3 linked regions of the Arabidopsis thaliana genome follow. The protein of the gene in region 1 interacts with the protein of each later gene in a pairwise test. Each region holds a gene or a part of one and is shown in the gene's direction. Other genes may lie near its edges.

Region 1 (8,925 bases):
AAGAAAACACATTCATGAGGAATAATCAATCATATGGATAATGTCGAGAAAGAGACTCTTTAGTGTTTCAGTCTTATCAAACAATCATGAGTTTCACATCTAACTGGTGTCCTAAAATACTTGACACAATTATACAAGCAAACAGGAATATGAAGATGATAGAACAAGTAAAAAAAACATACTTGATTCTGTCGAATTTGAGGCTCACTCTATCCGCATCTTCTTTGCCTGAAGACGTACAAGTAGATTCATGATAGCAGAGACATTAGGAAGTGTTCAATTTTACTGAGAATTGAGAAATGTATATAGAGGAGAAATAACGAACCTTGGAGTGGATCATAAAAGCCTAACACCTCGATTTGTTTACCGTCCCTGCGCGATTTTTCATCGGCGACAACTACACGATAGAAGGGTCGGTGTTTACAACCAAGACGCGCGAGCCTTATCTTCACCGTCATCTCTGCTTGGAAATTGAGGTCTGAGAAGTGAGAAGAAAGAAGATAAGTAAAGGTTTTTATTTAAGCTGGTGGGTTTTGGCTTTTTCCCCTTATCTGTGTTCTCTTTCTTCTGTTACGATCGTTATTGATAAGATGGGCCATGTTGGGCCAGTTTACATTTTATCTCTTTATTCACATTAAGCCCATTAGATCTGCTATACGTTTCTTTTCGTGATTTGCTATACAGAAGTCACTTATCTAAAATCTCGGATTATCCAGAAATTCCAAAATATTCAATCAGCTTCCTGTCTTTAAGGATCTTCCTAAAAGAAATTGCTTCAAAATGTTCAATTTGAGAACACCAGCATCTTGTTATCGTATAGGTGTTTGACTGTTAGTAGAGAGATATACGAAGTCCATAGTGCATGCAACAAGTTAGATATAATAAAATAAAATAAAGTTATCTCCAGTCTCAACCACTCAGATGTCGAAATTCAGAGTGATGCGTACATCCTACGAGTATGACTTTTCAAACAACCACCAACATTCACAAAAATTGCAAAAGCTTCTACAAAGATAACCAAATTAACCACCACCAAACACAAACCTTCTTCCTGTTAAATCATTGCTACAGTTTAGCTGTCGTTTTCAATTCTAAGGTTCACACAAGATTAAACGAGCTCATCTATCAAGAGTTATTATGATCCATTCATCATCTTCTCCATTTCAACACTACAATTTGCTAACCCAAGATTCACAATCACAATCTGATCAACCAAATTAAAGAGCCATCAAAGAAAGCGATCAGTTAATGAACAATGAATCCTAAAATGCGAGTTATTTAATTTCCATCATGTACAATGAGATCTTCAGAAGCATCCGAATTACTTACTACTAAAGAGGAATTGAAATTGAACTAACAAATTTACACATCAATTAAACCCAGAAACTGAGAAATTCTACCGAGAGTTCTTGAAGAAACCATCCCATCGCCTTGTGAAACTTCGAAATCCCAACACAATCAGCACTTGAATTTCATGCCGAGACCATGCTTACCACGAACGATACCAGGCTTCAAAAACGGAGATATCTTCGAGGCATAGACCTTGGCGATTGCTCTTTTCCCCAGTTTCCTCATCCTTTGTCTCCCCACCTTCTTACTCACGCTACGCGGAACCAACTCTTCGTCAAGATCATACGAATCGTCGTACTCGCGATCTTCTTCGCCGTCGTCATTAACACTATCTCCGTACGTAATTCCAACAGAATAACCAGAACCTCCACCGAGAAACATCATCCGCTGCTGAGACCATCCAAGATCATTCTCATCAACTTCATCGCGAACGACATCATCGCCAACATCATCATCACCATCCAGATCCACGGCGAGATCACCACCGTCAGCAATAGGAATTATCTCATGCGGCGGAGAAATGACAGAGGGTGCGACAAAGGAAGCGTCGTCAAGAGATATGACGTCATCGTCGGAAAGACTATCGACGGAGAAAGAATCGTCGGAGAACTCGCCATCAGAAGGATTAACAACTTCCCAGAGATCGAGATCAACTTCTTGATCGAGAATGAGAGGAGACATGGTGATAACCCTAGATCGCTGCGCCATTTTCGAAATTGTGTGTTGTTTAGAGGTTGCTTCTTTGATTTTTCAAGACTGTTTGTTTTTGATAACCAGAGGAAGTTACCCTATTAATAGAGGCAAACCACCGAGTGTTATCTTGTGCTAATTGGTAGTTACACTGTTGAAGATACGTATTTACAACCAGTTATATGTTGCCACGTAAGGATTATTTTGCCACCTCAGCGTCGCCAGAAAGTTTGCCAGTAAATAAATAAGTGGACATGTAAATTTGATGTCGTACATTTATGATAATAAAAACTAAAAAGATACCTTTTCTTCCATTTTTTTAGAATATACCTTTTTTTCCTTTCAACATCTATAATTTGATCATTTCTTTCTAATTTTGTTAATTTCTGATTATATTAAACACATTTTCTCTGTTTTCTGTTTTTTTAATCTAATTAACACATAAGAAAAAGGGAGTTAAAAAGAATAAATGTACTCTCCATTTCCATTTGATGATATTCTTTAAGTTTCGTGGCTCTTTTTCAATTTCATTGGCTCTGACATTTTGTTTTTAATTAAAAAGGAAGAAACAAACAAAATGTGAATCCTTGTGAGTTGGCTCACTGGCAAAAAAGAAAGAAAAAAAATTCAGAAGCCTTTGTTTTCATCGATGAATAAATTAACAAACAAAACTAAAAAATAGGATATTCGCTGGCCGAATCGCGTCGATCCACATCGCAGGTGAGGGTTCCTGCAATTTATCCCTCGTGGTCTCTGAATCTCAGATCGTCGTCAACGAATCCTCCATTTTCTGAATCAAAATTTTCTGGAAACAATGGGGAGCTTGGGGACGATGCTGAGATATCCGGATGACATATATCCGCTCCTGAAGATGAAACGAGCGATTGAGAAAGCGGAGAAGCAGATCCCTCCTGAGCCACACTGGGGTTTCTGCTATTCGATGCTCCACAAGGTTTCTCGAAGCTTTTCTCTCGTTATTCAGCAACTCAACACCGAGCTCCGTAACGCCGTAAGTTCTTCTCGCTCTCGGCCTCTGTGTTGGTCAACGTCTTCAATTTTTGGAGGAATCCAGATATCTGACACTCATTTATTGTTGACGTCGGCGATGATTGGTTTCTTCTGTAGAATCCGATGGCTTTGAGAGTTTGTGTTCCACTTAGTTCAATATGAGTTATGCAGATTCTTATTAATTGATTCTGCAGTTTCTTCTGAGCTGCAGTAAATGCAGATTGTATTTTAGTGAACTATGATTCGATATGTTTCCACATATAAAATGGTGTGTGTGTTCGATCACATGCTATCAGTGTAGCTGTGTTCAGTCTTGCAGCATTTTCTTATTCAATTTTTTTTTTTTTTTCATTTTGTAGGTGTGTGTGTTCTACTTGGTTCTCCGAGCTCTTGATACTGTTGGTTAGTGTCTCTTAACTTTGCTTTCAAGATTACCTTGATACGATGAGGCTTCTCCAAAATCTGCTATATTTCTGTTTTGAAATGCTTTTATGTTAGAGCCATCTTTCTTCTTCGTGCTTCTGCTGCTAATATTATTTTTTGTACGACAGAGGATGATACTAGCATACCAACTGATGAAAAGGTTCCCATCCTGATAGCTTTTCACCGGCACATATACGATACTGATTGGCATTATTCATGCAAGTCTGAAGAGTCTCTTAACATCTTCATCTTTCACATTCCATTAATCTTTGACTGTCTAACTGACAAATTTTACTTGTTCAACTTTAGGTGGTACGAAGGAGTACAAGATTCTAATGGACCAATTTCACCATGTTTCTGCAGCTTTTTTGGAACTTGAAAAAGGGTTAGTTCTAATATTTGCTATACGCACTTCTGTTCTACTTTATAGATTTTTTCTGCTCATGTTGTCTCACGTTTATTGAGTTACTCAATTTGTTGATACTCTTATCTGCTTTCTGACAATACTAATTACCTCATTTTTAACATATGCTTTTGTATATGAAGGTATCAAGAGGCTATCGAGGAAATTACTAGAAGAATGGGTGCAGGGATGGCCAAGTTTATCTGCCAAGAGGTCTGTGATACAGAGCAGTTTTCGTAGTTGGATTTGTTTTTGAGTTATGGTGACAAAATGTCTTGAGCTGGACTGAGGTCTCTGTTTCAGTTAGAATTCTGTCATGCTTAATCTTTTCATAAGTCATAAATATTGGAATGCCTCATGTGATGCTTCTATGATATGACAAGTAGTAATTGTATTGAAAGTACCAAAACTTATTTATAAGTTTTGTAAAGAAATGAAATCATTTGTTTACCGATCCAGTTGATCCAGTTTTCACTATTATACACAGGTAGAAACTGTTGATGACTACGATGAATACTGCCACTATGTTGCTGGGCTTGTTGGTTTAGGTTTGTCGAAACTCTTCCTCGCTGCAGGATCAGAGGTTTTGACACCAGATTGGGAGGCGATTTCCAATTCAATGGGTTTATTTCTGCAGGTACAACAATGTATTTTGAGGTGTACAATGTTTCTTCTTCCTCAAATCTTTTGCAATTTCGGACAATTTCTATCATTGAATGATTTATAACACTGGTCTTATTTGCAGAAAACAAACATTATCAGAGATTATCTTGAGGACATTAATGAGATACCAAAATCCCGCATGTTTTGGCCTCGCGAGATTTGGGGCAAATATGCTGACAAGCTTGAGGTGCATACATACCACTCTCAAGCTCTCATCTTAGGTCTGATGTTACCCATATTGACTATTTTCTGACAGTGCCTTTTTGGTGATTTGTAAATTGTAATGTAGGATTTAAAATACGAGGAGAACACAAACAAATCCGTACAGTGCTTAAATGAAATGGTTACCAATGCGTTGATGCATATTGAAGATTGCCTGAAATACATGGTTTCCTTGCGTGATCCTTCCATATTTCGGTTCTGTGCCATCCCTCAGGTTAGAGAACGAAATATCACATAATTGTTAAGTCTTTAAACTTCACATTGAGAACTGTTTATATTGTTTTCCTCTTCATATGGAATTAGGTATTCTCCTCTTTAACTACGTCTGCACTAATATAGAATGCCTTAGAAGTTAATATTGCTTTGCTTGGGTGTATTTTCTTGATTAGATCATGGCGATTGGAACACTTGCATTATGCTATAACAATGAACAAGTATTCAGAGGCGTTGTGAAACTGAGGCGAGGTAAGATGTTAAGCCTTAGAAATTATGTAGGCCAATCCCTAATTTCTATTTATGAGAAAGGAAAACCCGTTATCTTTTATTATCAACGAGCTTGAGAACGTGTAGTAGCTAGCCTTATTATCTGAAGGCTAATATCGCTGAACAACTATCTATTGTTTAGGTCTTACTGCTAAAGTCATTGATCGTACAAAGACAATGGCTGATGTCTATGGTGCTTTCTATGATTTTTCCTGCATGCTGAAGACAAAGGTAGTCATCAGTTCCATGTTTGTGATTAGTTTTTCACTCAGTTTCTGTTTAAAGAAAAGAATCATATGTGAATTTTCTATCGACATATATGACATAGGTTGACAAGAACGATCCAAATGCCAGTAAGACACTAAACCGACTTGAAGCCGTTCAGAAACTCTGCAGAGACGCTGGAGTTCTTCAAAACAGGTACAGTCTTTTATTTAATCCCAAAAGCTGCATTAAATCCTCTCACTAAGAAACTGGTCACAAGCACCTATAACTAATCTTCCAAGTATTCTAGAATAGGATGATATTATCATAATCTTTCTTTCTGGTTGGGTTTCTGCTGAATCATTGTGTCTCTTCCTTTCAGAAAATCTTATGTTAATGACAAAGGACAACCAAACAGTGTCTTTGTAAGTTACATAGTTTCCCTTTTCCATATAAGTATCTCATTTTTAAAAAAATACATAAAACTTATATTCTATATATTCTACCCGAAAATGCAGATTATAATGGTTGTGATTCTACTGGCCATAGTCTTTGCATATCTCAGAGCAAACTGAGTGATCCATGTAAGCGAGTCTGATTGTATCACCATCATTCAAGATGTTCAGAGCAAATTTGAGTGATGAAGTAATCTAGGTTGATTCTTATTCACGCCACTGAATCCTAAGCAAGATTGTTTCCAGAACAAACAGAGTTTAAGCATGGTTTAGTCTAAAACCATGGATTCTATTTTAGTTACTACCTTCGTTATCTAAACGTGCATTTGTTCATCTATTTTTATTCCTTGTGTTTAAAGTTCTTTCTTTGTTTAGTTGCGTTTCTTCTTTCGTTCTCTTTTGGCATGTTTTAAGATTAATTTTACCAACAACAACCAGATAAAATCCAAATGCAATAAGAAAGAAAGAAAAATGACAATCGAAGACTGAAATCTCTTCTTTCTTTTTAGGTCGGCAAAAAAGTCTCTTCAAAGTATATAAAACAAAAACATGAATCAAGATTAGATTTATCTTTTTAACGTTAAGTGTGTAGCACGCGGCAAGCAATTTAAATGCAAAAATAGAACATAGTTGGACCAGTAACATGTATCACCGTGGCAAGCTTAAGAGCAAGGCTAATAGCGATTCTGTGGAAGTGCAAGGTATGCAAAGGCCGTGGGGTCTATTGATTTATTAATAGGGCCATATTTGTTGAATTATAGCACATGGCCTACCATTTTGTTCCCCAACAAATCCTCCATTGTTTCAAACGAGTTCTGTTTTTTCTCCTCTGTTTCTAAAAATGGGAAGCTTGAGTACGATTTTGAGACATCCGGATGAGTTATATCCGCTCTTGAAGTTGAAACTTGCGATTACGAAAGCTCAGAAGCAGATTCCACTTGAGCCACACTTAGCTTTCTGTTATTCAATTCTTCACAAAGTTTCTAAAAGCTTTTCTCTTGTTATTCAACAACTTGGCACCGAGCTTCGTAACGCCGTATGTTTTTTTTTTTTTCTATATATAGCTATGTTACATTTTTAGTTACAGCAATATTTCAAACATTTTCTTTGTTTTTATTAGGTGTGTGTGTTCTACTTGATTCTCCGAGCTCTTGATACTGTTGGTTAGTGCTTCATAACTATAGTATCCATATATTACCTTTGATTTGATGAGTCTTCTTCTCCAAGTCTTTTGGTTTTTTAATTCTTGATGATAGAAAAAGTTAGTATCATCTTCTCATATTTTTGCTACTACAGAGGATGACACAAGCGTACCAGTGGAGATCAAAGTTCCAATTCTGATAGCTTTCCACCGTCATATATACGATGGTGACTGGCATTTTTCATGTAAGTAATAAGAAGAGACTTTTCACATCTTAACCTTTCAGATGAAATTCTTTTCTTTTAACTTAATTACTCTTCATTCAATTTTAGGTGGTACAAAAGAGTATAAACTTCTAATGGACCAATTTCACCATGTTTCTGCAGCTTTTCTGAAACTTGAAAAAGGGTTAATTTGCTATATACAAATTCTGTTCTGTTTTTTATAAATGTTCTTGCTCATTTATTGATTGATCTACTGAATTTGGTGATACTAATTTTATGTTTTGTTTTACTAACTTATATATACAAAAAAGGTATCAAGAGGCTATTGAAGATATAACTAAAAGAATGGGTGCAGGAATGGCCAAGTTCATTTGCAAGGAGGTTTGTGATACACAGAATCTTTGTGATGTAGATTTTATTTTTTTCAGTTTTGAAGTTAAGCATCAAAACTTCTGAAGAGCTGAACTTATTTGTGTATTGGACAGGTAGAAACAATTGATGACTATGATGAATACTGCCATTATGCTGCAGGACTTGTTGGTTTAGGTTTGTCAAAAATCTTCATTGCTTCGGAATTAGAAATACTGACTCCAGATTGGAAGCAGATTTCAAATTCTACAGGTTTATTTCTGCAGGTATTCATTACAATGGTATAATATTGACATGTACAAGGTTTCTTCCTCAAATGTTTTTTGCAATCTTTGAAGTCTTTTGTATGTTATATCTTATTTGCTAGAAAACAAACATTATCAAAGATTATCTTGAAGACATTAATGAGAGACCAAAGTCGCGCATGTTTTGGCCTCGTGAGATTTGGGGAAAATATGTTGACAAACTTGAGGTACATAAACTTCACTCTCAAGCTCTCATCTGAAGATCTTATATTATAAAAAACAAATGTGACTCTTTCTAATAATGTAGGACTTCAAAAATGAGGAGAAAGCTACAAAAGCAGTGCAGTGTTTGAATGAAATGGTCACTAATGCATTGAATCATGTTGAAGATTGTTTGAAATCCTTGGCTTCACTGCGTGATCCTGCAATATTTCAGTCTTGCGCCATCCCTCAGGTTAGAGAAAAAAAACAAAATTCATCCCCTCTAATCTAATATTTTACTCTGCTTCAAATATCAACCAGAGAAATGTTTATGTTGATGTGACATTTTCTGTTTATTTGGATTAGATCGTGGCGATTGGAACACTTGCGTTATGCTATAACAATGTACAAGTGTTTAGAGGTGTCGTGAGATTGAGACGAGGTAAAATGTTTTATCTTGGGATTGGTTTTCAATCTGACACAATTTCATCATCTGAATCCCAAGGCTATTAACTTGTGAGTTATGTTCTATGTGAAAGATTATTTATTGACAAACAATTATATTGTGTAGGTCTAATAGCTAAAGTCATTGATCGCACAAAGACAATGGATGATGTCTACGGTGCGTTCTATGATTTTTCTTGCATGCTACAAACAAAGGTATGTATACGTTACTACATTTCCTGTGTATAGTGTTGGTAACTAGAAGATGAGATTGTATGTGTTTTAATATTAGGTTGACAATAACGATCCAAATGCTATGAAAACATTAAACCGACTCGAAACCATCAAGAAATTTTGCAAAGAAAATGGAGGACTTCACAAAAGGTAGACTGTTTTTTTT
Region 2 (8,825 bases), on another chromosome or scaffold:
TTTTAATGCAAAGACTCTTTCCAATAGCTTTTGCTGAGCTTATGGATAAATCTGTACACGATGCGCTATCTAGTAAGTTTCAACATTCGATTAATTTATTTTAATCTCTCTGCATTTTTATGTTATTTTTTTTAGTTTTTAATTAAGACCGTTGATAGCGATATTTTTATTTATGTGAATCTATTAATTTTTAAATTGGAAGGTGAGCATGATTGTAATTTTCTGCATTTAATTTTTTTTAAAAAAATCATAATTATATAGCTCATAGAGATAAAAAAACATATAGATATGAGAATATTTTTAAATTATCATTAACTTTTTTGTTCATATTGTTTTGAGAATATTTACCATTTCTTCATATAACAGTTATTTTTTATATGTGTAGGTGTTAGCTTATTTTTTCGGGACCTATGCGCAAGAACTATACACAAAGATGGTATTGAAATGTTGCAAAAAAATATTTGTATGGTTCTTTGTAACCTCGAGAAAATATTTCCTCCTTCTTTTTTTGATGTCATGGAGCACTTGCTAATTCACTTGCCACACGAAGCTAGTCTTGGAGGACCTGTGCAGTTTAGATGGATGTATTGTTTTGAACGATACATGGGACATCTAAAAAAAAAGGTGAAAAATAAGGCAAAAGTAGAAGGTTCGATCGTTGAGCAATACATCAATGAAGAAATTTCTACTTTTTGTACTTATTATTTTGATCGACACATCAAGACAAAAAATCGAGCAGGAGATCGACACTATGATGGTGGTAATCAAGAAGATACACATGAGTTTGATGGAGTTCCAGATATATTTTCTCAGGCAGGAAGAGACAGTGGGAAAGAAAGTGAGATATGGCTCCAAGATAAAGATTACCATATCGCACATAGATATATTTTGCGGAACTGCGATCAATTAAGACCATTTGAAAGGTATGACAAAATAATTTGGACATCTGTATGGATTTTGTTTTTTTTTGTAGAATTAGTAAAAGACATTGTAAATATTTTTCATGGTTATATATGTATATATAGGTTGTTTGATGAGAGCTTGATCGCGGCTAATCCTGGGATAAGTGAAAAAGATCTAAATGAGCTTAGAGAAAAGCAATATTCAAGCTGGTTAAAAAAATATGTAAGATATTTTTTTTTTATATGAGATAAATACTTGATAGCTTATAATATAGTATGTGTCTTTTTATATTGAATCAGGTGGAGGATACTTGGAAGGATAATTCATATCCAGAGTGGTTGTTGAGTATTGTTCATGGTCCAATGGTTAAAGTTACTTGTTGGCCAATGTATTTTTGTCGTGGATACATATTTCATACATATGATCATGGAAAGAACAAAAAGAATGCCAATTATGGAGTTTGTGTCAAAGGTACAACATCTTCTAGCTCAAATGAAGAAGCTGATTTCTATGGAATATTGAGAGAAATTTATGAGCTTCATTATCCTGGACATGTTGATCTCAAGGTCGTGGTCTTCAAGTGTGATTGGTATGATTCAAAAGTTGGGAGAGGTATACGAAGAAACAAGTCAGGGATTATTGATATTAATGCTAAAAGGCATTATGAAGAGTATGATCCTTTTGTTTTGGCTTCACAAGCAGATCAGGTATGTTATGTTCCATATCCACGGATGACTCAGCCGAGAAAAGATCAACAATGGGAAGCAGCAATTATGATACAACCGAGAGGGAAAGTATTGATAACAAAAATCTGGATTTCACTGCAATGCAGCATGATAACGATGATTCTATTGTTGAAGTTGATTCATTACAAATCGAGACACTATCATATCTAGATGCCCAACCAGAAGATCTTGATGATCCAGTAGTAGAAGCCGAAGATGGATCAGATGCTGAAGATGGAAATTCTGATATCGAATTAACTAGTGACGAATCCGAATAATTTTTTTTTTCATTTGGACTTTTTACAGCTTTTTTTGTATTATCAAAAACATTGTTTCCAAAACTGAAGAAGTTTTTTTATTTAATTTTTTGTTCACAAGTTTTTATTTTTGTATTAAAATTGGTAACACTTATGTCACAATCTATGACCAAACGCAAAAGTCACTAAAACAGTGACAAATTGTGTCATCGTTGTTACAAAATTCTCGTAACTATACATGACATAAATTCAGTCACAATTATCGTATAATTTAGTTACTATATTTGGTCGCAAATCCGTACTTATATTTATGACTATATAATTTGTAACAAATTTGACATAATTAGTGACAAACATTAGTTACATTCAATTAAGTCATAATATTATAACGAAATAGTAACGTTTTTATGACCAAATAAATACGTCACAATTTTGTATGAAAATGGTCACAATTTTCTGACGAAAATAATGACCGTAATTTTTTCGTAAGAATATCGATTTCTGACCAGACGCTCTTCAATATCCGTTAGTAGTTGTGACACTTGAATGTGGTTTTGGACATGTCACCAGAAACTTGTCTTCAAGTGGTCTAACTGGAACCATGGCTGCTGCGATTCAAAATCTTACGCAACTAGAAACTCTGTAAGTAAGCTTGAATAATATACATACCGTTGCGTTTAAAAAAGCTACTCTCCAGCGACCGTGTTTCCAGCACTCCAAATTCATTATTTTCTGTTTAATGGGCTGATAAAACCCATGTTTGGCCCATAACAATTATTTCTGTTATTATAGCAACGTTGAAAAATATACATACCGTTGCGTTTAAAACGCTACTCTCCAGCACTCCAAATCGCCAATCGCGTTCTCAAACAGTGCTAATCGCCGATGAAGAGGTCTCATTGTCATCGCCGTCCTTCTCACGACGGGAGATTTCGCTGCCGTATATGGCCGATTTATCTCCGGAGATTCCTCACATTCGTCCTCCTCCTCACAAAAGTTATTGGGCCGGCTCAAAGAGATGGAATCAAAATTCTCTCAGTTTCATGGCCGGAAGGTAATTTCTCAGTTTATGATGTAACTGAAAATCCTTTAAAAATTTGAACTTTATGATTTTAGATATCTGATAATGGCGTCTTTGTCTTGAAATTTGTTTCTTCATGTTGACCCACTTCTCTTTAGATAATAGTCATTGTTGATAAATGTGAATCCTCTGCTTTGTGATTAGAAGCTGTTCTTGTCGATGAAGACGTCAAAATGTGTATTAATTAGTGATAAATTATCCGATATGATTCAATCAAAGTCACTGACCACTAGAAAGTCAAATCTCTTGCTTTCTCTCTGTGTGAACATTTTTTAATGCGTTAAAAGAGTGGTGACTGTAAAACCCTCTATTGACATATTCTCTTAAAAACACAGAAGTTGCATATTATTTTTTCTAAATACAAGTTGCATATATTCTGACATTCTTGGGACAAATCAAATTTGTAATTGTAAAGTTGCAATAGAAAACACATTTACTCATTCGTTTCACTGACTCAGGACATCTTGCCATGTTGCCAGAGGCTTGGACTGTTTCTTGGGTTTATCTATTTATACGCTGTGTTTCTCTCAAACTCTGGCATTGGTAAGGTTTTGATATCTAAAAGCAATTATGGATAGTCCTTGTTGGCTTTTGCTGCTGCTATTAGGAGCTTTTGCCATTATTGGTTGTGTTCAAGCTCAGGATCAACAAGGTACCTAAATCTTAATGGTTTATATGTATATTACACTACTACTTCTTACTGATTCGAGTCTTAGTTATGTTTGTATCTGAGATGCTTTTGATTTTTCACTCTCTTAACAGAGTTTATCAGTTTGGATTGCGGGTTACCCATGACTGAACCGTCTTCTTATACTGAGTCAGTAACCGGACTACGGTTCTCGTCTGATGCTGAATTCATCCAGACTGGTGAAAGTGGTAAAATCCAGGCGAGTATGGAGAATGACTACCTTAAGCCGTACACGAGGCTGAGGTATTTTCCAGAGGAGAGAAGGAACTGCTATAGTTTGAGTGTTGACAAGAACAGGAAATATTTGATCAGGGCTAGGTTCATTTATGGGAATTACGATGGTCGTAACTCTAACCCGATATTTGAACTGCATCTAGGACCTAATCTGTGGGCAACTATAGATTTGCAAAAGTTTGTGAATGGTACAATGGAGGAGATCCTTCACACTCCAACATCAAACTCTTTGAACGTTTGTCTTGTTAAGACAGGGACAACTACACCCTTGATCTCAGCCTTGGAATTACGGCCATTAGGAAATAATTCTTATCTCACAGATGGTTCTTTGAATCTTTTCGTTCGGATATATCTCAACAAGACAGATGGCTTTCTTCGGTAAGTGTTTTTTTTTTGGTTAACAGTGATGGATTCTATATTCCTATACTCTTTATTTTTAACATTCCTATACTTATTCAAGGATAATACAACCTTTGTTCCACATAGGTACCCGGATGATATTTATGATCGCAGATGGCATAATTACTTTATGGTGGATGATTGGACCCAAATTTTCACCACTCTCGAAGTGACCAATGATAACAATTATGAACCACCAAAAAAGGCTCTTGCAGCGGCTGCCACGCCTTCTAATGCCAGCGCGCCATTGACAATCAGTTGGCCACCAGACAATCCTGGTGACCAATATTACTTGTACAGCCACTTCTCTGAGATACAAGATTTACAGACCAATGATACCAGAGAATTTGACATATTATGGGATGGAGCTGTTGTTGAAGAAGGTTTCATCCCTCCAAAGTTAGGGGTGACTACTATCCATAATCTTTCTCCAGTGACATGCAAAGGAGAAAATTGCATTTACCAGCTAATAAAAACCTCGAGGTCAACTCTTCCTTCTCTACTTAACGCTCTTGAAATCTACACAGTTATCCAATTTCCACGGTCGGAAACAAATGAAAATGATGGTATGTTACTTATCTTCATTGTTATGCAGATACAGTCTGTTTTTTTTTTTTAACTAGAGAAATCAACTTCACCTGCTAATTCTCACATCCTTGAGCTCTACATCAGTGGTTGCTGTTAAAAATATCGAAGCTGCCTATAAATTGAGTAGAATCAGGTGGCAAGGAGATCCTTGCGTCCCTCAAAAGTATGCGTGGGATGGTTTGAACTGTAGCAACAACACAGATGTTTCTAAACCTCCAAGAGTATTATCCTTGTAAGTCGTAAGATCCAAGATATGAACATGCACACTTTGACACTTATCTTCAAAATAAGTTAACTATCATGCTTTGGAATCACCAGAAATTTGTCTTCGAGCGGTTTAACTGGAATCATTGCGGCCGCAATTCAAAACCTTACACATTTAGAAAAACTGTAAGTATGGCCATAGTTAATATTGGTTTTGTTGATGGAGGAAAACCTAATGAGCTCTACTTTATTTTGGAAATAAACTTTTAGGGACTTGTCAAATAACACACTAACTGGAGTGGTGCCGGAATTTCTAGCCCAGATGAAATCGTTGGTGATCATGTAAGTTGCTCAGCATATTTTCGTTTACTTTCAGTTCTCCTTTGGTTCATGTGTCTGTATGCATGAAGATTGCTCTTCTTTAATAGAAACTTAAGCGGCAACAATCTTAGTGGTCCCCTTCCTCAAGGTCTTCGAAGAGAGGGACTAGAATTACTGTAAGAAACTTCCCACGTACTTTTTAATATTCCACAGTTATTTTCCACAGCCCTTTTGTGATTTGATGTTTTTAACAACACTCTTTTTCTTGCAGAGTTCAAGGCAACCCAAGGCTTTGTCTCTCTGGTTCCTGCACAGAAAAAAACTCGAAGAAGAAATTCCCGGTGGTGATTGTTGCATCAGTTGCTTCTGTGGCCATAATTGTTGCTGTGTTGGTTATTATTTTTGTTCTCAGTAAGAAAAAGTCATCTACTGTGGGAGGTAATTTGCAGGAGATCTCTCATCAAATCAAGAAACTGCAACAAATCGATGAATTCTTACATACCCTACTTTTTTTCTTTCTTATCTATAGCTCTACAACCTCCACTGAGTATGCCAATGGTTCATGATAATTCACCTGAACCATCAATCGAGACGAAAAAGAGAAGGTTTACTTATTCAGAGGTTATCAAAATGACGAATAATTTTCAAAGAGTTGTAGGGGAAGGAGGATTCGGTGTTGTTTGTCATGGTACTATAAATGGTTCTGAACAGGTGGCTGTTAAAGTTCTCTCTCAATCATCAAGTCAAGGATATAAGCATTTTAAGGCAGAGGTATGCATAATCTTCTTAAAAATATGACCATCTAACGCTTTCTCTTACTTTTATTTCCCATGAATGATTAGGTTGATCTTCTTCTACGAGTTCACCATACAAATTTGGTGAGTCTTGTTGGATATTGCGATGAAAGAGATCACTTGGCTCTCATCTATGAGTTTTTGCCCAAGGGAGACTTAAGACAACATCTATCTGGTAAACTTGAATTTCTTCATGATTCGAAAGTGTATATATGTTTCAACGTTCCCAAGGATCTAAAGAATCAAGTATTCAGGAAAAAGCGGTGGGTCCTTTATCAACTGGGGTAATCGTCTACGAATAGCTCTGGAGGCTGCACTAGGTTCGTAAGCTTATTAGCCAATATTGGCAGCTTAAAATGACTTTCCTTCTGGTGGACTAACAAATAATCATTCCTTTGAATAGGATTGGAATATCTACATTCTGGATGCACACCACCAATTGTACATAGAGATATAAAAACGACAAACATATTGCTGGACGAACAGTTAAAGGCCAAGCTTGCCGATTTCGGCCTTTCGAGATCTTTCCCTATTGGAGGTGAAACACATATTTCAACTGTGGTTGCTGGTACTCCTGGATACCTTGATCCTGAGTAAGTGTCGTTAGTTACCATTACAATGTGCTGAAAGTGAGTTGTCATTTTGCACTTTATATATTGGTTAGAGAGTATAACCATGTACTTTTGCCGTGCAGATATTACCAGACAACTCGACTGGGTGAGAAGAGCGATGTGTACAGCTTCGGAATTGTGTTATTGGAGATTATCACAAACCAACCTGTGATTGACCAGTCCCGTTCAAAGTCTCACATATCACAATGGGTTGGATTTGAGCTTACCCGAGGAGATATTACTAAGATCATGGATCCAAACCTGAACGGGGATTACGAATCTCGTTCTGTATGGAGAGTTCTTGAACTGGCAATGTCGTGTGCGAATCCTTCTTCTGTGAACCGACCAAACATGTCCCAAGTTGCTAATGAACTGAAAGAATGTCTTGTTTCTGAAAACTTGAGGGAAAATATGAATATGGACTCTCAGAATTCTCTTAAAGTGAGCATGAGCTTTGACACAGAGTTGTTTCCGAGGGCAAGGTAGTATGTGCTGCAGGTAACACAACCATGCTAATTAGTTGGGCTATTGGTCATGTTTGCTTTGATCATCCACATGCCAAGATCATATACCCTGTTACTTGGTGATGTTTTCATTATTTTATGTGTGCTTAGTGATGTTTTCATTCTTTGTATGTGTGGCTTGGATGCTAATAATCATTGACCGTAAAAGAGTATACCTCTTTGTGGTTCCATCATTAACAAACAAATGATTTTGGTTAAATATTTGTAAAATGGTTGGAAGAGTATTGATTTAAAACTGTCAAATAGTATATAAAATTAAAGAAACAGATTATGGATTGTGATTTCTCAACATACATTTATCTGTACTCTGAAATTATTAGGCTCACCATTCACTTAAGGCTATGTCAAATATAATTGATGTGATAGTTTATTGCTTAACGTGCTTCTGGGTCTGCTCCATATCTTCCATGATTGAGTTCATGATAGTGATGTTGGGACTTTGCTGTCCTCTTTTTCTTATTCATTTTGTTGAATAGAAAATGCATTTACTCATTTCTTTTGGCTTGGCAAAGTCTTTCTTTCGGCTTTTACATTTTCTTCCTAGCCAAATGGTTTTCTTGATTTTTCCTTGGAAGGTTAGAGAAGATGATTATATGAAGAATTCTCTTGGCCTTTTGTTCCTGCTAGTCTCCATCATTCATATTGTTCGAGCTCAAGACCAACAAGGTATCAGAAACCTTTTTTTTCCCTTTTAAACACATTCTTTTACAAACTTTTTGGTTCTCAGAAGTGCATTGTTTTAAAGAATAATCTTTATAAATGTCTGCCAACAGGATTCATCAGTTTGGATTGCGGACTCCCTGCGAATGAACTGTCTCCTTATGAAGAGAGTTTCACTGGACTGCGGTTCTCTTCGGATGAAAAGTTCATACGTAGTGGAAAAAACGGTCGAATCCGAGAAAATCCTCAGGGATACGCTAAGCCGTACGCTGAGATATTTTCCAGATGGAATAAGGAACTGCTACAATCTAAACGTTGAGAAGGGCAGGACACATTTGATTGTGGCTAGGTTTGTATATGGAAATTATGATGGTTTTGACCTTAAGCCAAAGTTTGATCTGTATCTTGGACCTAATCTATGGGCCACGGTGGATTTGCAAACAGAAGTTAATGGTACAGCGGAAGAGATCTTACACATCCCAACATCAAACTCTTTGCAGATTTGTCTTGTTAAGACTGGGGAAACTATACCGCTAATATCGGCTTTGGAATTATGGGAAATGGTTCTTATATCACTAAGTCTGGTTCCTTGAATCTTTTATCACGAACATATCTTAGCAAGTCAGGATCTGATCTACGGTAAGTTAACTTCAACTGATCATTGTTTGTTCTTTCTGCTCTGTTTCAATACAAGGGTTGTTTTCATTGACACTTAGAAAAGGTCATACATAAGGTTTTAAGGCAATCAATATGATCATTTTTTTTTGTTTTACTACTAAAACAACATTGTTTCCCACCCCCAGCTACATGAAAGATGTATATGATCGCACATGGGT
Region 3 (7,314 bases), 6.1 Mb from region 1:
AGACCCTAGGCGAAGCTTAGAGGTCGCCGGTTCGAGTAATGCTTGGAACGAAACTAATATTACATGTTGTGGTTTCGGGCCTGGAGGGATTACGGGCTTCGGCCCAGAACCTCCTGGTATTCAAAAAAAAAAAAAAAAAAAAAAAAAAAAAAAGAAAGTCAAAGAAACATATCGAAACTGAAAATATAACGTTGATTAGAGAGCTCACCTTTCATTTTGTATGAATAGTTACAATATAAACGAAGAAAATCTAAGAGTGTGCGGAACTTAAAGCATCCAAAACTCCTTCATTGGCTTATCCAAAAATATATAATAAGAGTGGCATGTAAAATGTTCTAGAGTATTATTATAATTTAGTAAGTTTAACGGTTTTGACATACACTTGCATCTTTTATCTCTTAATTCGTATGACCTTCGAGATAACCATCTATGACATTTTAAGGGAACGAAATGAGAGGCACCATAATCATATTTACAGGTCGGTTACCCTCCTCATCCGTGTGATTGATAAGTGGATCCCAAATAGGATTACATGTCTTCGATTTTCTTTCAAAACTTTGTACATAAAGTTTTTTTGTTGGTCAGTAAATTTAACATGTAAAAAACAAAACAAGAAAAAGTTTAAGCAAAGAAAAAACACTCATATACAATAATATTATTTTCACCTCTACAGGAAAGAGGTTTCATTTTTTCTATTTATTAAACAAAATATATCTTATTCGGTGTAGCATTATTTATTTCAAGTTGTGAAATAAATGTAACATCAATTTTATACTATTGTTCTCGACGTGAAATCTTATCGAATTTTGGTTCCATGGTCAAAACTCAAAAAGATGGTTGTACAGATATTAAGCATATCTTAGAATGATTACCAAACATGTGACTGAAATTTGAATCAAACTTAATAGTAATAAAAATGATTTCCCGTGATCCATGGCACCTTTTAAATCAAACTTAATAAAATATTACAAGTATGTATGATGAAGTTAAAAACCTTCCTTTCTCATGCGAACATAATATATTAATATGTCAAAATATACGATGGTTTTACTACAATGCATTTCCGAAGTGCCGGGAAAATTATATATAAACTATATTCAAATATAATTTGTTTAGCTAATTGGTAAAAAAACTGAATTTAAGTGTGGTTGTGTAGACGAAATGCTCTATTTTGAGCCTTAATGTTAACGAAAAACTAGATTATATATTTTTCTTTCTACGTAACCATAACCTCGATTAATGTACGTGTACTGTTTCATTTTTTGGACCCGACAATGTCTTTCGGCTTACAAAGCTTGGCCTGATTAATTAAAATAAAATTATCTTTTCAGCAAAAAAATAATGGAGGTTTTTATTGATGATTCGAACTAATTTTGAAAATTATATATAACTACAAATTTCATATTATTCGACCAATAATTTCCGAATAAAATAAAAGAAAATTACATGTCAATCCAATTCATGATTTTAAAATACAGTTGTACAAAAGTTTTAAAAGATATTTAGCATATCTTGAATTATACAGTTACTATACATGTGACTGAAATTTGACTCAAACATATTAGTAATAAAAACGATTTCCCGTGATCCGTGGCACCTTCAAATTTAAACCAAACTTAATAAAATATTACAAGTATGCATTCTGAAGTTAGAAAAAAAAATTGCCTTCCTGGCTTCTTTTAGTTACAACTTACAAGTTCCTGATTTTGCACTAATTTGGACATAGAACCAAAATCTTATCTCATTCAATGATTTCCAAAAATTACAAAAAATTAAAATATATTTTAATTCAATTAATGGTTTTGAATTACAATATCTGCATTTTAAGAAATCACATAAGATTTTTAGATAAAATTCAAAAAACAAATTTAGATATATATTTTTTTGGAATTTCTATTTAAAACCTGGTGAAATTGATAATGTGTTTTAACATTAATACATATACTGATAAACCATTTTAGATGAAGATAATATCTATATAAAATTTTCCTTTGCATTATCTTTGATACGTAAACCAGATATATTGCAATTAAAAATATAAAATTACGGAATAACATTGTAGCGAGAAATTGTGGAGCGTCATAATAAAAAAAGTTACATAGTTTTGGTAGAAATTTTTGACATGTAAGTTGTGAACAGACCCGTTAACAAATTTATGTCTCATTTACTTTATGCACACATACTACTCGTAACACTCTCACATCGTACAAAGATATAGATCTAGCACACGTATAATAGCTTCGGAAGTCATGCTGATGAAATGATGTTGATGATGATGAATATGATGGTGTATGATTATATCATGATGGGTTTGATATCATCGATTATAATAAAGTTATGATGATGTAAAAAAGTTAATGAATTGAATCCGAGTGTCGTGGTGGAAACATTAAGTAGCCCCCATAATTCATCAGTCCATTCAACTCATTTATTTCATCAACTTATTAAAATAATATAAAATGATAGTCAATTCATTGGTTGAGTTAAGTCAATGATCTACTAATTTTGATCGACTTTGATACTCCTACATTTACATCAATGTTTCTTTTTCTTTCTGAAATATTCTTTATTTACCTTCCCTTTGCATATATGTATGTTCTCAATTTCAATTCATATTCACTCCTCCTATTTTTTTGGCACCATACATCATGCACATCTGGATCGATACGTAACATGAAAGTCTTTAAGATTTGTCTTGTCACCATTAACCAGCATACGTGTTTACATGTGGAATTAACATTGCTAATTTACTGATAATTCAAATTGTACATTATAAAGAAACTTCATTTTTTCTCTGGTGGCCCGTGGCCACAACCCTACATTCTAACATCCATTAAAGAGGGTTCGAACTTAACCTAATCTAGAGATGACATTTTGAGTATTGTCGCAAATAAAACATTCTGATCATAATTAACATTTAGTTATATGTTAGTATGGATTCAAACCTGAGGTTGATATGATCGGATCCAAACAGTACACTACATTAAGTTTACGGATCGCAATCAAGATTGTTACGTTGGCATCAAGGTATATATAAAATATCTTGAAATTTTTTAGTAATTTTTATAATGTTGTGTACATATGTACACATGCACAACTATAAGCTAAATAAAGTATGTCCGTATTACCCGCTTGGTAGTTGAAGACTTAAAGAGGCCATCATCAATTCCATCTAGTGACATTTTTCAATTTCTCATAAATGATATAGTTTATTCTATAGTTTGCATGACATAATTTTGTTTTGTTTATATGATACGAACAAATTTGGGTGTAACAACATATGACCGGTGACTTTATATCCGAAATTCAGAATTCGATATGAGATGTTCTAAATGAATACTTATGTGAAATACAAACAACGCATAAAATGACGTATATATACTTATGTGATTATAAATGAATATTTGGAAAGTAGAATAAAAATTTAAAAACAAAAAGTAGATTGCAAGTATGCAACATTTGAATCCTAGGCGCGGATGGTTATGCATGTACGACATGCACGAATGATATAGGCTCTCTGCACAACACACAAGATCAAAACAAACAAATTCTGCATGTAGCATTCTAAAATTTTCGATAAATTTTATATTTGTTGATCTAAGAAAAAATTGTAATCCCTGAAAATTGAATTTGAGACCTGGTATAGAATCTCCACAAACATAGGAATTTATTATTATTAAAAAAGCTTTATTAACAATATATCATCTTCTTCTTTTTTTCAATTAATAAACTGGTAATATTAAAATCGTCAAAGAAGTCTCTCTCTCCCCCATGTTTGCCAATAAATAGGAGATAATCGCTACCAAACTTCTCATTCTCACAAGTCATAAACAGTCGTTTATAGTTCAATCCTTTTCCTCTTCTTTGTTTCTAAAAAGAGAAAAGTCACTTATGGCGGATATCTCGGGAAACGGCTATGGCAACGCCAGAGAAGAAGTAGTAATGGTGAATCTCAAGGATGAAGTCGAACATCAACAAGAAATGGAAGACATTCATAACCCAAGACCCTTGAAGAAACAAGACTCTCTACTCTCAGTCTCTGTCCCTTTCTTACAAAAGGTTTTTACTTTTAACTCTCCATATCCAACATGTTTTACAAGTTATAAATGAAAAGACTCTGTTTTGTACCAATTCACAAGACATCTCGGTTTTATTTACGCTATGTTTTCAGTTGATCGCGGAGTTTCTTGGAACCTACTTTTTGGTATTCACCGGTTGTGCATCGGTGGTTGTAAACATGCAAAACGACAATGTCGTGACTCTTCCAGGGATCGCTATCGTTTGGGGACTCACCATTATGGTCCTCATTTACTCTCTTGGTCACATCTCTGGTGCTCATATCAATCCGGCCGTTACCATTGCCTTCGCCTCTTGTGGCCGTTTCCCTCTCAAACAGGTCCTTAACACATACACAATTACATATAGCCTTTATATAATGATCGATCAAGTTTTGTATTTTATGTGTGTTTTTGAGTTTCATGAACAAACTAATTAAAGAACATTAGTGTATTTTGTTTCCATTGATCTAGTTTAGCTATCGGTTGCTTGTATTGCACACGAGACTTTGGGTTATTCAAATACGTAGCGTTTTTAATGCAACGTTTACTATAGATGAGTGAAGATACGTAAGGACAAATCTACTTTTGCTAGTTTCCAAAATAAATTAAAATGTTATGTAACTTTTGTATGTATATAGTTTTTCCACACGTCCATATTTTGTTATATAAACGTCAAAATATCTTCCAAGATTGGGTCCCTTCCCTAGTTAGTGTGAACTGGTGAATTAATTTATTTTATTTTTGTTCTTTGAATTTTTTTAGGTTCCAGCTTATGTCATATCACAAGTGATAGGATCAACGCTCGCGGCTGCGACATTACGGTTGTTGTTCGGACTTGATCACGACGTTTGTAGCGGAAAACACGATGTGTTTATCGGATCATCACCAGTGGGATCAGATCTTCAGGCGTTTACGATGGAGTTTATCGTCACTTTCTATCTAATGTTCATCATTTCTGGCGTTGCTACCGATAATAGAGCGGTTAGTATTTTCATATCTTCTTATGTTGTCAAATTCGATGGCTTATATTAGTGTTATTAATTACTGCTCCCTCTCAGAAGTTACATTTGTTTTCTGTGGTCTTTAAATTTACGAGAAACTTAACATTGGGACCAAATGCTGCAATATTCAGATCGGAGAACTTGCTGGATTAGCAATAGGATCAACGGTGCTACTTAACGTGCTAATTGCCGCGTAAGTTATCAGTTACCATTTCTATTATTGTGCTTATACTTTTTTTTTTTAGAGTAAGAATTCCAAAAAATGATTTATACGGTTATGTTCATCAATTTTATTAGACCGGTATCGAGTGCGTCGATGAATCCAGGAAGAAGTTTAGGACCTGCACTGGTCTATGGTTGCTACAAAGGAATTTGGATATACTTAGTTGCGCCAACTCTTGGTGCGATTGCGGGTGCATGGGTTTATAACACAGTTAGATATACCGATAAACCATTGCGAGAAATCACTAAAAGTGGTTCATTTCTAAAGACCGTGAGAATCGGTAGCACTTGATAAGAGAAAAGAAAACATGGGTGGAGTTGATGGAGTATTTTCAAATGAATGTAACAACTTTCACCACACCTTACGTATATGGCCTTTGTATTAATTGCTACGTTTATCTCTTTTATTGTTAACGCCAAGATTCTCTATCTTGTTATTAATGTGTAACTGTATCGTATATTTTTTAAATAATAAAATTCAATTCTAGAAAGATCAAACTTTAAAGTTTTAAGCAAAATTGTTGAATATGTAGAATTTGGAATTTGTCAAAGGAAAGCACAAGATCCGGAGTCACAATCATTTGCCTAGTGGGGCAATACTTTTGTCCATAGAACTTAAAAGCCGGGCACGGCACGTGTTGGTTTGACCTGATAGATCAAAACTAAACATCATCCACCACATACCAATCTCTAACGAATGGCACACATCCCAAATCATTCACCTCATATTTTTCTCATGCAACATCAGGAAACTTTTCATTTGTGATGAATAAAGAAGAAAACAATGAGGAAACTTTTCATCCACTAAAATGTGAGAAAGAAGACCAATTATTATTCATCTAATTACCCAACAAAGAATAAATTACATATTAGTTGGCTAAAATAAGATTAATTTTTGAAGAATTTACTAATCGAAAAATCCTAATCAAACCGAAATTTCGATCGAGCATAGTAGACTGAGCTGGCCAGCCGCTATGATGTCACAATTCACTAACACAAGGAAAAACTAAAGAACAAAATTGATCATTTTGACGAAGCCTCATGGAGAGGAACTAATAACAAACTTGTTTAATGTCCTCTGCTTCAATGAGGAATGGTTTCTTGAAGCTGAGGGTAAGTTGAATGCGAAAAGTTTTGGGGAAGTTTTATAAGATGCTCGTCGCGGGCTAGACCACGAAAAGCCATACCAAGCGAATAACCTAAAGCACGAGAAACCGAGACTGCCACTGCATTTCCAATCTGACAATACCTGTAGATAGTGAGAAGAAGTGAAATGATATTCGCATTTGCTTAGTAGTCTGAAACTATTGTCCTGGTTCTTATAATTTTTTCCAAATGAACAAAAGCAAGTACCTTTCTTTAATGGTTCCACAGAACTGGAAGTAATCAGGGAAACCTTGAAGCCGTGCAGATTCTCTTATGGTTAGCACTCGATCTTGCTCAGGATGCAATAACGCCTGCAAATAGCAAACTTCTTATAGAAACTTTTAAGAATTTAAAATATGGTATTATGTTAAAACCTGGAATGGCTTTGAGGGTACCTGACTGTGGCATGTTGGGACTGTTAGAACGGTTGGAACAGTTTCATCCCACCAAAGACGAGCAAACGGTCTGCGAATTTTATAAATCCAGAGAGACTTAAAAACATGAAAGCTTCAACAAATAGTTTCAGGCGGAGGAGTGTAAGAGTATACCTTTTAGATTTCCCTTGCTGAAAAGTAAAGACGTATCCTGGTACCTAAGGAGGGCCACAAGTGAGCTGATTCAGTACACATATATTAATTTTTGGGATTATGAGAACTGTTGACAGCAGACTTAACAAGCAGAATGACATTAGCTTGAGAATTTCAGCACTAATGTGTAGTTTCATCGATAACTCATGTAATTTTGGTATGGCTCAGTTCATATAAGAGGATTCTTTACCAAAGGCTTTCCTGATGGCAGAATAACCGGTTCCATTGATGGATCACGACATACTGTATTGTTTCTGACGATTAACCCCGGAAGATCCCTGAAATTAGCTCCCTGCAAAC

What was found.
Region 2: the proteins of SQS1 (region 1) and AT5G59650 interact in a protein complementation assay, tested with the Arabidopsis thaliana proteins (one large-scale study listed by BioGRID).
Region 3: the proteins of SQS1 (region 1) and NLM1 interact in a two-hybrid assay, tested with the Arabidopsis thaliana proteins (one large-scale study listed by BioGRID).

What each region holds. Positions count from the first base shown.
Region 1 is NC_003075.7:16,535,635-16,544,559, forward strand, and holds SQS1 (squalene synthase 1), read left to right. Parts: upstream 1-2,554; 5' UTR 2,555-2,854; coding exon 2,855-3,049; intron 3,050-3,067; exon of another isoform or gene 3,068-3,286; coding exon of another isoform or gene 3,287-3,316; intron 3,317-3,407; coding exon 3,408-3,450; intron 3,451-3,599; coding exon 3,600-3,689; intron 3,690-3,780; coding exon 3,781-3,856; intron 3,857-4,017; coding exon 4,018-4,087; intron 4,088-4,361; coding exon 4,362-4,511; intron 4,512-4,619; coding exon 4,620-4,724; intron 4,725-4,826; coding exon 4,827-4,973; intron 4,974-5,148; coding exon 5,149-5,224; intron 5,225-5,384; coding exon 5,385-5,473; intron 5,474-5,570; coding exon 5,571-5,662; intron 5,663-5,828; coding exon 5,829-5,871; intron 5,872-5,964; coding exon 5,965-6,021; 3' UTR 6,022-6,390; downstream 6,391-8,925. Other genes in the region: SSR16 (small subunit ribosomal protein 16), read right to left, coding at 183-228, 326-458; AT4G34630 (prostatic spermine-binding-like protein), read right to left, coding at 1,459-2,058; SQS2 (squalene synthase 2), read left to right, coding at 6,743-6,937, 7,022-7,064, 7,198-7,287, 7,375-7,450, 7,578-7,647, 7,752-7,901, 8,003-8,107, 8,188-8,334 and 3 more.
Region 2 is NC_003076.8:24,027,810-24,036,634, forward strand, and holds AT5G59650 (Leucine-rich repeat protein kinase family protein), read left to right. Parts: upstream 1-3,536; coding exon 3,537-3,618; intron 3,619-3,728; coding exon 3,729-4,266; intron 4,267-4,374; coding exon 4,375-4,830; coding exon of another isoform or gene 4,831-4,853; intron 4,854-4,912; coding exon 4,913-5,107; intron 5,108-5,193; coding exon 5,194-5,265; intron 5,266-5,349; coding exon 5,350-5,421; intron 5,422-5,507; coding exon 5,508-5,576; intron 5,577-5,671; coding exon 5,672-5,838; intron 5,839-5,929; coding exon 5,930-6,171; intron 6,172-6,242; coding exon 6,243-6,369; intron 6,370-6,448; coding exon 6,449-6,514; intron 6,515-6,597; coding exon 6,598-6,787; intron 6,788-6,888; coding exon 6,889-7,291; downstream 7,292-8,825. Other genes in the region: AT5G59660 (Leucine-rich repeat protein kinase family protein), read left to right, coding at 7,878-7,995, 8,103-8,253, 8,339-8,442, 8,505-8,628, 8,793-8,825. UniProt on the Arabidopsis thaliana protein: Required for accurate photosynthesis.
Region 3 is NC_003075.7:10,419,987-10,427,300, reverse strand, and holds NLM1 (NOD26-like major intrinsic protein 1), read left to right. Parts: upstream 1-3,792; 5' UTR 3,793-3,891; coding exon 3,892-4,059; intron 4,060-4,171; coding exon 4,172-4,396; intron 4,397-4,820; coding exon 4,821-5,039; coding exon of another isoform or gene 5,040-5,090; exon of another isoform or gene 5,091-5,190; coding exon 5,191-5,252; coding exon of another isoform or gene 5,253-5,256; exon of another isoform or gene 5,257-5,356; coding exon 5,357-5,573; 3' UTR 5,574-5,780; downstream 5,781-7,314. Other genes in the region: CMT2 (chromomethylase 2), read right to left, coding at 6,365-6,530, 6,635-6,738, 6,823-6,892, 6,976-7,019, 7,205-7,306. UniProt on the Arabidopsis thaliana protein: Water channel probably required to promote glycerol permeability and water transport across cell membranes.